Mus musculus: one gene and its partner. The protein of the gene in region 1 binds, or shares a complex with, the protein of each later gene. Links are inferred from orthologs where the notes say so. Each region holds a gene or a part of one and is shown on either strand. Other genes may lie near its edges. The genes, in order: Nalcn and Fam155a.

Region 1 (3,821 bases):
ATGTACCTACCTGAGGGCAGACGCCATTGCCCAATCTTCCTTTGGGGTTTTCCAGTATCTGCTGCATCCTGTCGGCTTCCTCCTCTGTCTGACAGAGTAGGGCTTAAGAGCTGCTGCTGACTGCTTGTCTACATGGAAGAAGTATTAGTCATTGTGGGTCTTTCTCTTAAAAATACACATATTTAATTGGTCACAAATATTTGTACAAATTTGTGGGGTTTTGAAAAATGATCGTATAGAACAGTTTGGGCTCTTTCTTAATTTTCCTCCCTCACAGCTCTCTAGGTAGTATCTTTCTCGACCATTCCATTAGAGTGTCCATCCTTCACTTCCTTCAAGCCTGAGGATTTCACTGATTCCTTAAACTTGGCTGGAACATTAGGCAAGGAGAATGGCACTATAGGGAGAGACAGGATGTCAGGGACAGGATGTTTTGTGGACATGGACTTTTGCCAGCTTAAAGGTCAGAACCAGGAGCTCCAGAAGATGCATCTTGGTGGACAGAGCTCTATGATATGCCCTGGGGAAGCCCAAACCCAGGACTAGCTGATGCTGAGGATTGCAAGGCAGTTTGCCCCCATCTCTAATTCAACTCTCTCTTAACCATAGTCATCATATTTTTTAGATTTACTTTATTTGTGTGTGTGTGTGTGTGTGTGTGTGTGTACAAAAGTGTGTGCCATACATGTACAGTTACCCACAAGGACCAGAAGAGGGTATTGGATGCCATGTATCTAGAGCTATGGGTGGTTGTGAGCTGTCAGATGTGGGTGCTGGTAATGGCACTTGGGTCCTCTGGAATAGCTGGTGTCTCTTCAACCCCTCACTGTCCTGGTTTTTACACCATATTAGGCGTTTCCCTCCACTTGATTTTTGGACTACCTTTTTGAGAGTTCTGGAATCATTACATCCCCTCAATCATTGGTCCTGTCTCAGTGTCTGCCTAAACCTGATCTGGCTCTTCCTTGTAAAGCACTTCCAGATATCCTGGGGTCAGACCTGTAGCAGGATGACTGTAGATCTTTTGGCCTCTTTTGCTGAATTCTCCCATAGAAGTCTATAGAAGGAGGCAAGTGATTCCTGGTTTCTTGCTGGGAGCATCAAACCACAGAAAACTGTACCATGGCACAACAGGTCCTTTTGCAGCCTCTACTGGGCCATGGAGTCCTACTCTTCATTTTGTTCCTTTCCCCTGAGTATGTTTCTTTGCATGATGAACTATGTGCAGCTGGAGGCACTGCACAGTGTGTTGGATGGACTCCATGTGATTAGCATCAAATCACCATTGCAGCCACATAAAGGGGCAGGTCTTCCCTGCCAGCTGCTTCTCATAAGCACAGGGCTCTCCCAGATGCTGGAAATTCTGGCTTTTTGTTTGTTTGTTGAGTAGGCATTTAGAATAACTGAAAATGAACCTAGCTGTGTTTTAATAGACAGAAGATCCTCAAATAACATTTCTGAGTTCTATATGCTCCTCACTGCCCAACTAAGAAAAGATAAATGGATAAATGCATTCATTTGGTCCATCACAGAATGTTGAAAGCCAAGTGCCTACATTTCCCTAAGTTTACTAAAAATTTCTATGATGTACTGAGGGGGGAATATTTAGGCCTTCATGATAATCATGATTTTTTAAAGCATATAACATTTATATGCTCAAGTTCAGCTTTTATGATAACATTAAACTTTTAGATAAAAGAAACAAGCAAAAACCACTCAGGATGTGAACCATTTCTAGTATATGAATTCTGTAGTTTGAATCTTGACTGGCCCATAAGTTGAAGGCTTTGTTTCCAGCCTAAGACACTAAATGGGTGAAGACTGTCCTTAAAGAGGATATTGAGGACCCATCCGCTCTTGCTCCCTGGCCATCACACAGAAATAAACACCAAACACTGACACCATTGCATACACTAGCAAGATTTTGCTGAAAGGACCCTGATATAGCTGTCTCTTGTGATGCTATCCTTGGGCCTAGCAAACACAGAAGTGGATGCTCACAGTCAGCTATTGGATGAATCACAGGGCCCCCAATGGAGGAGCTAGAGAAAGTACCCAAGGAGCTAAAGGGGTCTGCAACCCTATAGGTGGAACAACAATATGAACTAAACCAGTACCCCCCCCCCCACCCCCGTGTCTCTAGCTGCATATGTATCAGAAGATGGCCTAGTCAGCCATCAGTGGAAAGAGAGGCCCATTGGTCTTGCAAACTTTATATGCCTCAGTACAGGGGAACGCCAGGGCCAAGAAGTGGAAGTGGGGGGGGGGAGTGGGGGGAAGGGCATAGGGGACTTTTGGGATAGCATTAGAAATGTAAATGAAGAAAATACCTAAAAAAAGAAATAAAAAATTTATGAATATACACATTCTCATTATTTTTGGTTCTTTTGCAACAAAAGGTCATGTGAGAAATTCTGTTACTTGATTTGAAGTGTCTCTGTGACCAGTATCAACTCCCACAGAACATCATTGGGGTAAGGGTGACTTATCCTACCTCAGGTTGCATACTGTGGTCCTGGCTGTTGGCGTTGCTGTCCTCACTTGGCTGGGTGGTCTCAATGCTGGGAGGATTCAGGAATAGCCGGCTCCGCTCTTGCTCCTGGCTCTCTCTCAGGCTGTGGATGATGCTGCACGACTGCTGTTGTTTCTATGGAAAATTCTGTGCTTTCATAAGGGGGAAAATGTGCCCACCTCTTTACCCCATTCCCACCAAGTCACAGTTTCTTCTTCCCTCTTTGAAGACCTATGATTTTGCTGTCCTCTTAGGAAATTCCAAGTAAGGTTCTTGAACTAGTTTTGAGGATATTAGATTGATATACAAGTCTTAAAGATTAGAAGCATCCCCATCTTTTTCATTTGTATAACATTTGGATTTTTTTATGCTCATCCATACTAGTTTATATATTATTCAAAACTTACTAATGTGGGTGTTTTATTTTTTTTTCTTTTATTTACTCTAGGCTCATTTAATCAATGCAAGTCCCCTCCCACTCTACACTTTCCTGAAAACCCTAAGCACCAGAAGGTCTTGAGTAGATGAGGAGGAAACTTTGAACTCTTTGTTCTGAACTTTGTAGGCCAGACTGGTAGGTCAGTTCAAAAGCAGCCTCTTTTTCCTGGCCAGGGCCTTCTTAACATCTGATCAGAACATTTGTGATTAATGGAACAAGAGTTAAAATGGCCATGTTTTGATTAGGTTGCAGTGAGAAGCTAACTTTGCTCTAGGAGGCTGGGCTGGAGTATTTAGTTTCTTTGGGAACTTTTTTCTCTAACAGAAATGCTTATTTTTGTAGTGGGTGTTGTTGTTTTGAAGACCAGGATCAAACAAATCTTACATAACATTAATTGCATTGCAGGAAGTATATACTGAGTTATGTGCCTTTCTTCTCTGTACGTGAAGTATGAGTCACAAGCATTTATAAATGTTAATTACCTAATAGAAGTACTCACTGGAAACACAGTATATGCTAATGGAGTACATATTCATTAATATGTGAGAGCCTCATACAAACTTACAGTTCAGAAGGCAGCAGGCACATCATTAAAATTCCATGAGAGGTAGTCTTTAGAGACCCAACAATATGATAAACCATATGTTAAAACTTTTAGTAGCAATTTAAAAGTGGCTTTGTAAACTTCATCTCTGTAGATATTTTTGGGATTTCATACCATTGAGTTTAATAAGTGGAGATTATAAATATTTTAATAACCATAAATTGCTTTTTAATCCTTCATTTTTATACAATTTGATTCAATTGGAATGTGTGGTGGAGCCTGCTGAGGAGAATGAGCTGACGCTGGAACAGTTAAGGCTGCATCAG
Region 2 (3,821 bases), on another chromosome or scaffold:
CCTAATGAGTGCTCTTTAAGCTCAGCTAATTGCTTATTCCAAGATGTAAGTTTCTTTCAGGATATCTTGCCATTCTGACCCTACATTACAAATGGTGAATAAATAAGTCAAGCCTCATCATGGGCACACAGCCCACAGCAGCTCTCTCTGAGAGCAGGGACGGTTGCTAGCACCCACCCCTTGATGGTATATTCTCAGGCAGAATCCATTCTTCCTAGAATAATATTCAGATTTTTGCTAGCATTTGTTTTGAGCTGTTTGTCTGTTTGTTTGTTTCATTTTACTTTTCAAGTCATCTTTTGCAGACTTACAAAATTGCCTTTCCTCCCATGCAAATCTTTTTTCGGTTAATGCTGGAATGTTCTAGCAAATGTCCTCGGTGCTTGTGTTGTCTGTTTTATTGCAAACATGTCCGCACAGGGAAAAGATAATTCCTTCCTTATATAAAACCATTCCCCTGCTTTAATCTCTCACATTATGATAAATATTTCTTCTCTGTCCTCCCTTATTTTGTTTCCTCCTCGTGGTTCCCGCTGCTGATTCTCAACAGATGCCTGGGAACAGAAATGTATTTCTCAGATGGGAGCTTTCTATGGCTATCTAAACATTCACGTTCACCACAGAACTGAAGGGCAGGGAAGCTGGCTGCATGCGTGCTGGCTCACTGTGGTGGCTGGAGGGCTCTCGCGCGCGCGAGCGCTCTCTCTTCTCTCTCTCTCTCTGTCTCTCTCTCTCTCTCTCTCTCTCTCTCTTCTGCCTGGTGATGAGAAAAAAAAAACTCACTCTGCTTTGGCCGCTCGCTCACTTCTTGAGGCAGGAACAAATATCTGCAATGGGAATGGGATGGAGCAAGAATAAAAATGGGTGCATCTCAGCTGGATCATGGCAAGGGAAAGGGTGCAAAGGATATGTCCATATCTCAGAATGCATCACTCAGTGCCACCCCATGGTCTGTGGGTGGAGTGGGGATGTAGACAGGTCATAACCTGACACTCAGACTTACGGATCTGAAAGGATATAAAGCTGCCTGAGGGTGTAGTTCAGTTGGTGGCATGCTTGCCTAACGTGAACAAGGCCCTGGGTTCTATCCCTAGCACAGCATAACTAGATATGTGCCATACTGCAATTCCAGAGAGATGGGGGCAATATGGTCATCCTTGACGACATAGTGATTTCAAGGCCAGCCTGGCACTCTGTCTTAAAAAAACAAAAAAGTGAATAGCCAGTCGGGCAGGACTGGAGACAGAGTGGTGCCCATGGAATCCCTGGAGCTTTTTCTGTATGTGCAGAAAGAGTCTTTAAAATAGAGCAGACCATTGTAGTCTAAAGACTACAGAGCCCCGTAAATATTCAGTGAGGGCTTCCACTAGCATGCAGTTTTATCACTAGCCTGTACATACGAAAATGCCCACTTGCTTCTAACACCTAGCAAAGGTAATTAAAGCCAGAAATCACAAAGCGCTTAGGGCACCCAGACACCATGGCTTCACTGACATCATAAATGCTGTATCCCCTGTCGGATTTTGTCACACTGGTATAGGTTGATCAAAAAGCGTCCCCCACTGATGCTTTACCCCAAGTGCAGTTTAGACACCACTTCTCTGTTCCTTCTTGTGAAGTTGATGTTTCTGCCCCTTATTCTGTGGTGTTAGCTGGTCCACAGGACACCTACCACCCTGGGAGCCCATGGCATACTTGGACTTGCCAGCTGAAACACAAGGTTTCTCAGCAGCCTCCTTGGTCATTGTTATGTTAGGATTCATTCGAAACTCCATGCACACAGGCATAAAGTGATCAGGATGATGGTAAATCATTACTGACTGCAAGAAACGCTACGTTGGCCATCTATAGTTATTAATAAATTTCATATTCATCTTTGCTGCCTTTAGAGACCTTTTCTTCAAAGAATAAAACGTGATTTTTGTGAAACTAATAAGAAATTGTGAGGTAATCCCAGAACAATTAGCTCATAATAAATGGGCTTTGGTCAGGTACCCGAGTCAAGTTGTTTACAGTTGTCTGAAAACCCTGTTAACGGCCGTATGTTTTTGAAAGCATTTTCTGATTAAGCACAACATAACCACTAAAAACAAAAGTCGGGAAATCTACGGATTTTGGGCTTTGAATTCTAAAACTTTCTATTTATTTCCGTACTTACTGTCCTCAAGAAATATGTGATCAGTCAATATATTCTAAATGCCAAGAATCGGGGCTGAAAAAAAATTTAATTTGCTAGGAAAATACATAAATTTGTTAAATACGTTTCATTTTCATCCTAGTTTATATTTTATTCATGTACATTTATTGCTAAGCCATCCATTTTTCAAGGTAGAGTATAATGGATGAAACATTAACTAAATAGTATTATTTACTCCTAGAAACTAGCAGAATCCACTGTTGCTAAAGACCTGGAAAGAAACTGAATTTCACAGATCTATGCTGCTTTGTTTAAATTCAGACTTAGTTTACTTCACGGTAGGGGGAAGGGGCGAATTTTCAGTGCTTACTTCCCCAGTAATCACACAGAGAAAGAGATCAGTGAAAGCCACACAGTCAGTAGAGTCCATAAATACTTAGCGAAGATAGATTGCACTGGGTCAAAGGTCAACTGCAGGATTCTGGGGTAGGAACGACCATTCTTCTAATCAAATGGAGCAGATTATGTCTGATTTGTACTGAGTGTTTCCGTTTTCAGTGAGGTTTTCAGTGCAGTCCGTGTGAGTCACAGATGCAAACACCCAGTTCTTGTTGCTGTCTGCTGTGGGCAAAGCAAGCTGTAACAGCCCACATGCTTTTGCACCTTGCAGGAGTCCTTGCAAAGCGCTTCGCGCGCCACCTAGTGCCCAATCGAGGTATGAGAGGTGGGAAAGAGCAACTGAGTCTCTGCCCCACTGCAGTGAGTTACATTATCAGCGGGGCTTATTGTGTTCTTTACTTTATATATCACTGGATCCTAAAAACTTTAGAGTTGGTTCAAATGCACTGTTTTCCAAGAGTTCTTTAAATTAAATACCTTTTCCATTCTCCATAGGCTTGTATTCAATACCCTCACTGCAGGTACTCACAGCGGCATTCTTACCATGTGGAGCTGTAAAAAGCTCTACCCCAGTTGTTTCCGACCCATGTAAAACTGAAGCATGCTCTCTCCACCCAGCCTAATCCTTATTAAAAAAAAACGTGTGTAGCATCCCTCCACAGCTCTGATTTTTTTTTCTCTTTGTTTTTCAGATTGTCTACAAAGCCTGGCTCTGCTCCCAGTATTTTGAAGTCACACAGTTTAACTGCAGAAAGACCATTCCTTGCAAGCAATATTGCTTGGAGGTGCAGACAAGGTGTCCATTCATATTGCCCGACAATGACGAAGTCATTTACGGAGGCCTCTCCAGCTTCATCTGCACAGGTACAGGCTGGGTGGGGCCCTCCTTTGATCTCCATCAATATGTTGCTTCCAAAACCCCGAGACTGCCCAAAGGTATTTTTATGTGGCCTGAGCCCAGAAAAGCCTCCCAATGTGATTTAAACAAGGGTCGATGTCTCTATCACACAGCTATGCTGCAACCGAGACTCTCTGTGAATGTCTCCTGAGGATAGCTGCAGAGTCTAGGGGGAATTTTATCAATGACTCCTTCCTATTTTGTGATGAATGTTGTCACCGTATCTTAATCAGTATTGAGGACAAAAGGAGATGTCAGCCTGGATCACGCATGTACACACTGGGGCAAAAGAGGCCAGGACAGGTGATTTTTATATTTTCTGATAACAATATCTCCTTTATTTTTTTTTTGGCAAAGAATCGAGATGGGCAGGATGCCAACACCAGC

The links.
Region 2: the proteins of Nalcn (region 1) and Fam155a are in contact, whole or in part, in a cryo-EM structure (PDB 7CM3), measured with the Homo sapiens proteins. The link is inferred for Mus musculus from reciprocal best matches to the Homo sapiens genes NALCN and NALF1. Residues at the interface, in NP_001337678.1 of Homo sapiens: Cys207, Val209, Asn220, Leu222, Ala223, Ile224, Pro225, Thr227, Tyr237, Pro240, Phe243, Tyr406, Glu409, Phe909, Ala1044, Lys1045, Asn1047, Pro1049, Arg1054, Ile1060, Arg1062, Ile1063, Asn1064, Val1065, Ser1066, Lys1069, Lys1080, Lys1081, Gly1083, Phe1084; in NP_001073865.1 of Homo sapiens: Lys278, Glu281, Phe282, Val285, His287, Lys288, Tyr289, Leu290, Gln291, Glu294, Tyr295, Ser296, Val297, Lys298, Ser299, Tyr308, Trp311, Leu312, Gln315, Leu335, Gln338, Thr339, Cys341, Phe343, Ile344, Leu345, Pro346, Asp347, Asn348, Asp349.

What each region holds. Positions count from the first base shown.
Region 1 is NC_000080.6:123,281,090-123,284,910, forward strand, and holds part of Nalcn (sodium leak channel non-selective protein), read right to left. Parts: intron 2,648-3,821; coding exon 2,495-2,647; intron 129-2,494; coding exon 11-128; intron 1-10. UniProt on the Homo sapiens protein: Voltage-gated ion channel responsible for the resting Na(+) permeability that controls neuronal excitability. NALCN channel functions as a multi-protein complex, which consists at least of NALCN, NALF1, UNC79 and UNC80.
Region 2 is NC_000074.6:9,232,513-9,236,333, reverse strand, and holds part of Fam155a (transmembrane protein FAM155A), read left to right. Parts: intron 1-3,228; coding exon 3,229-3,400; intron 3,401-3,821. UniProt on the Homo sapiens protein: Auxillary component of the NALCN sodium channel complex, a channel that regulates the resting membrane potential and controls neuronal excitability.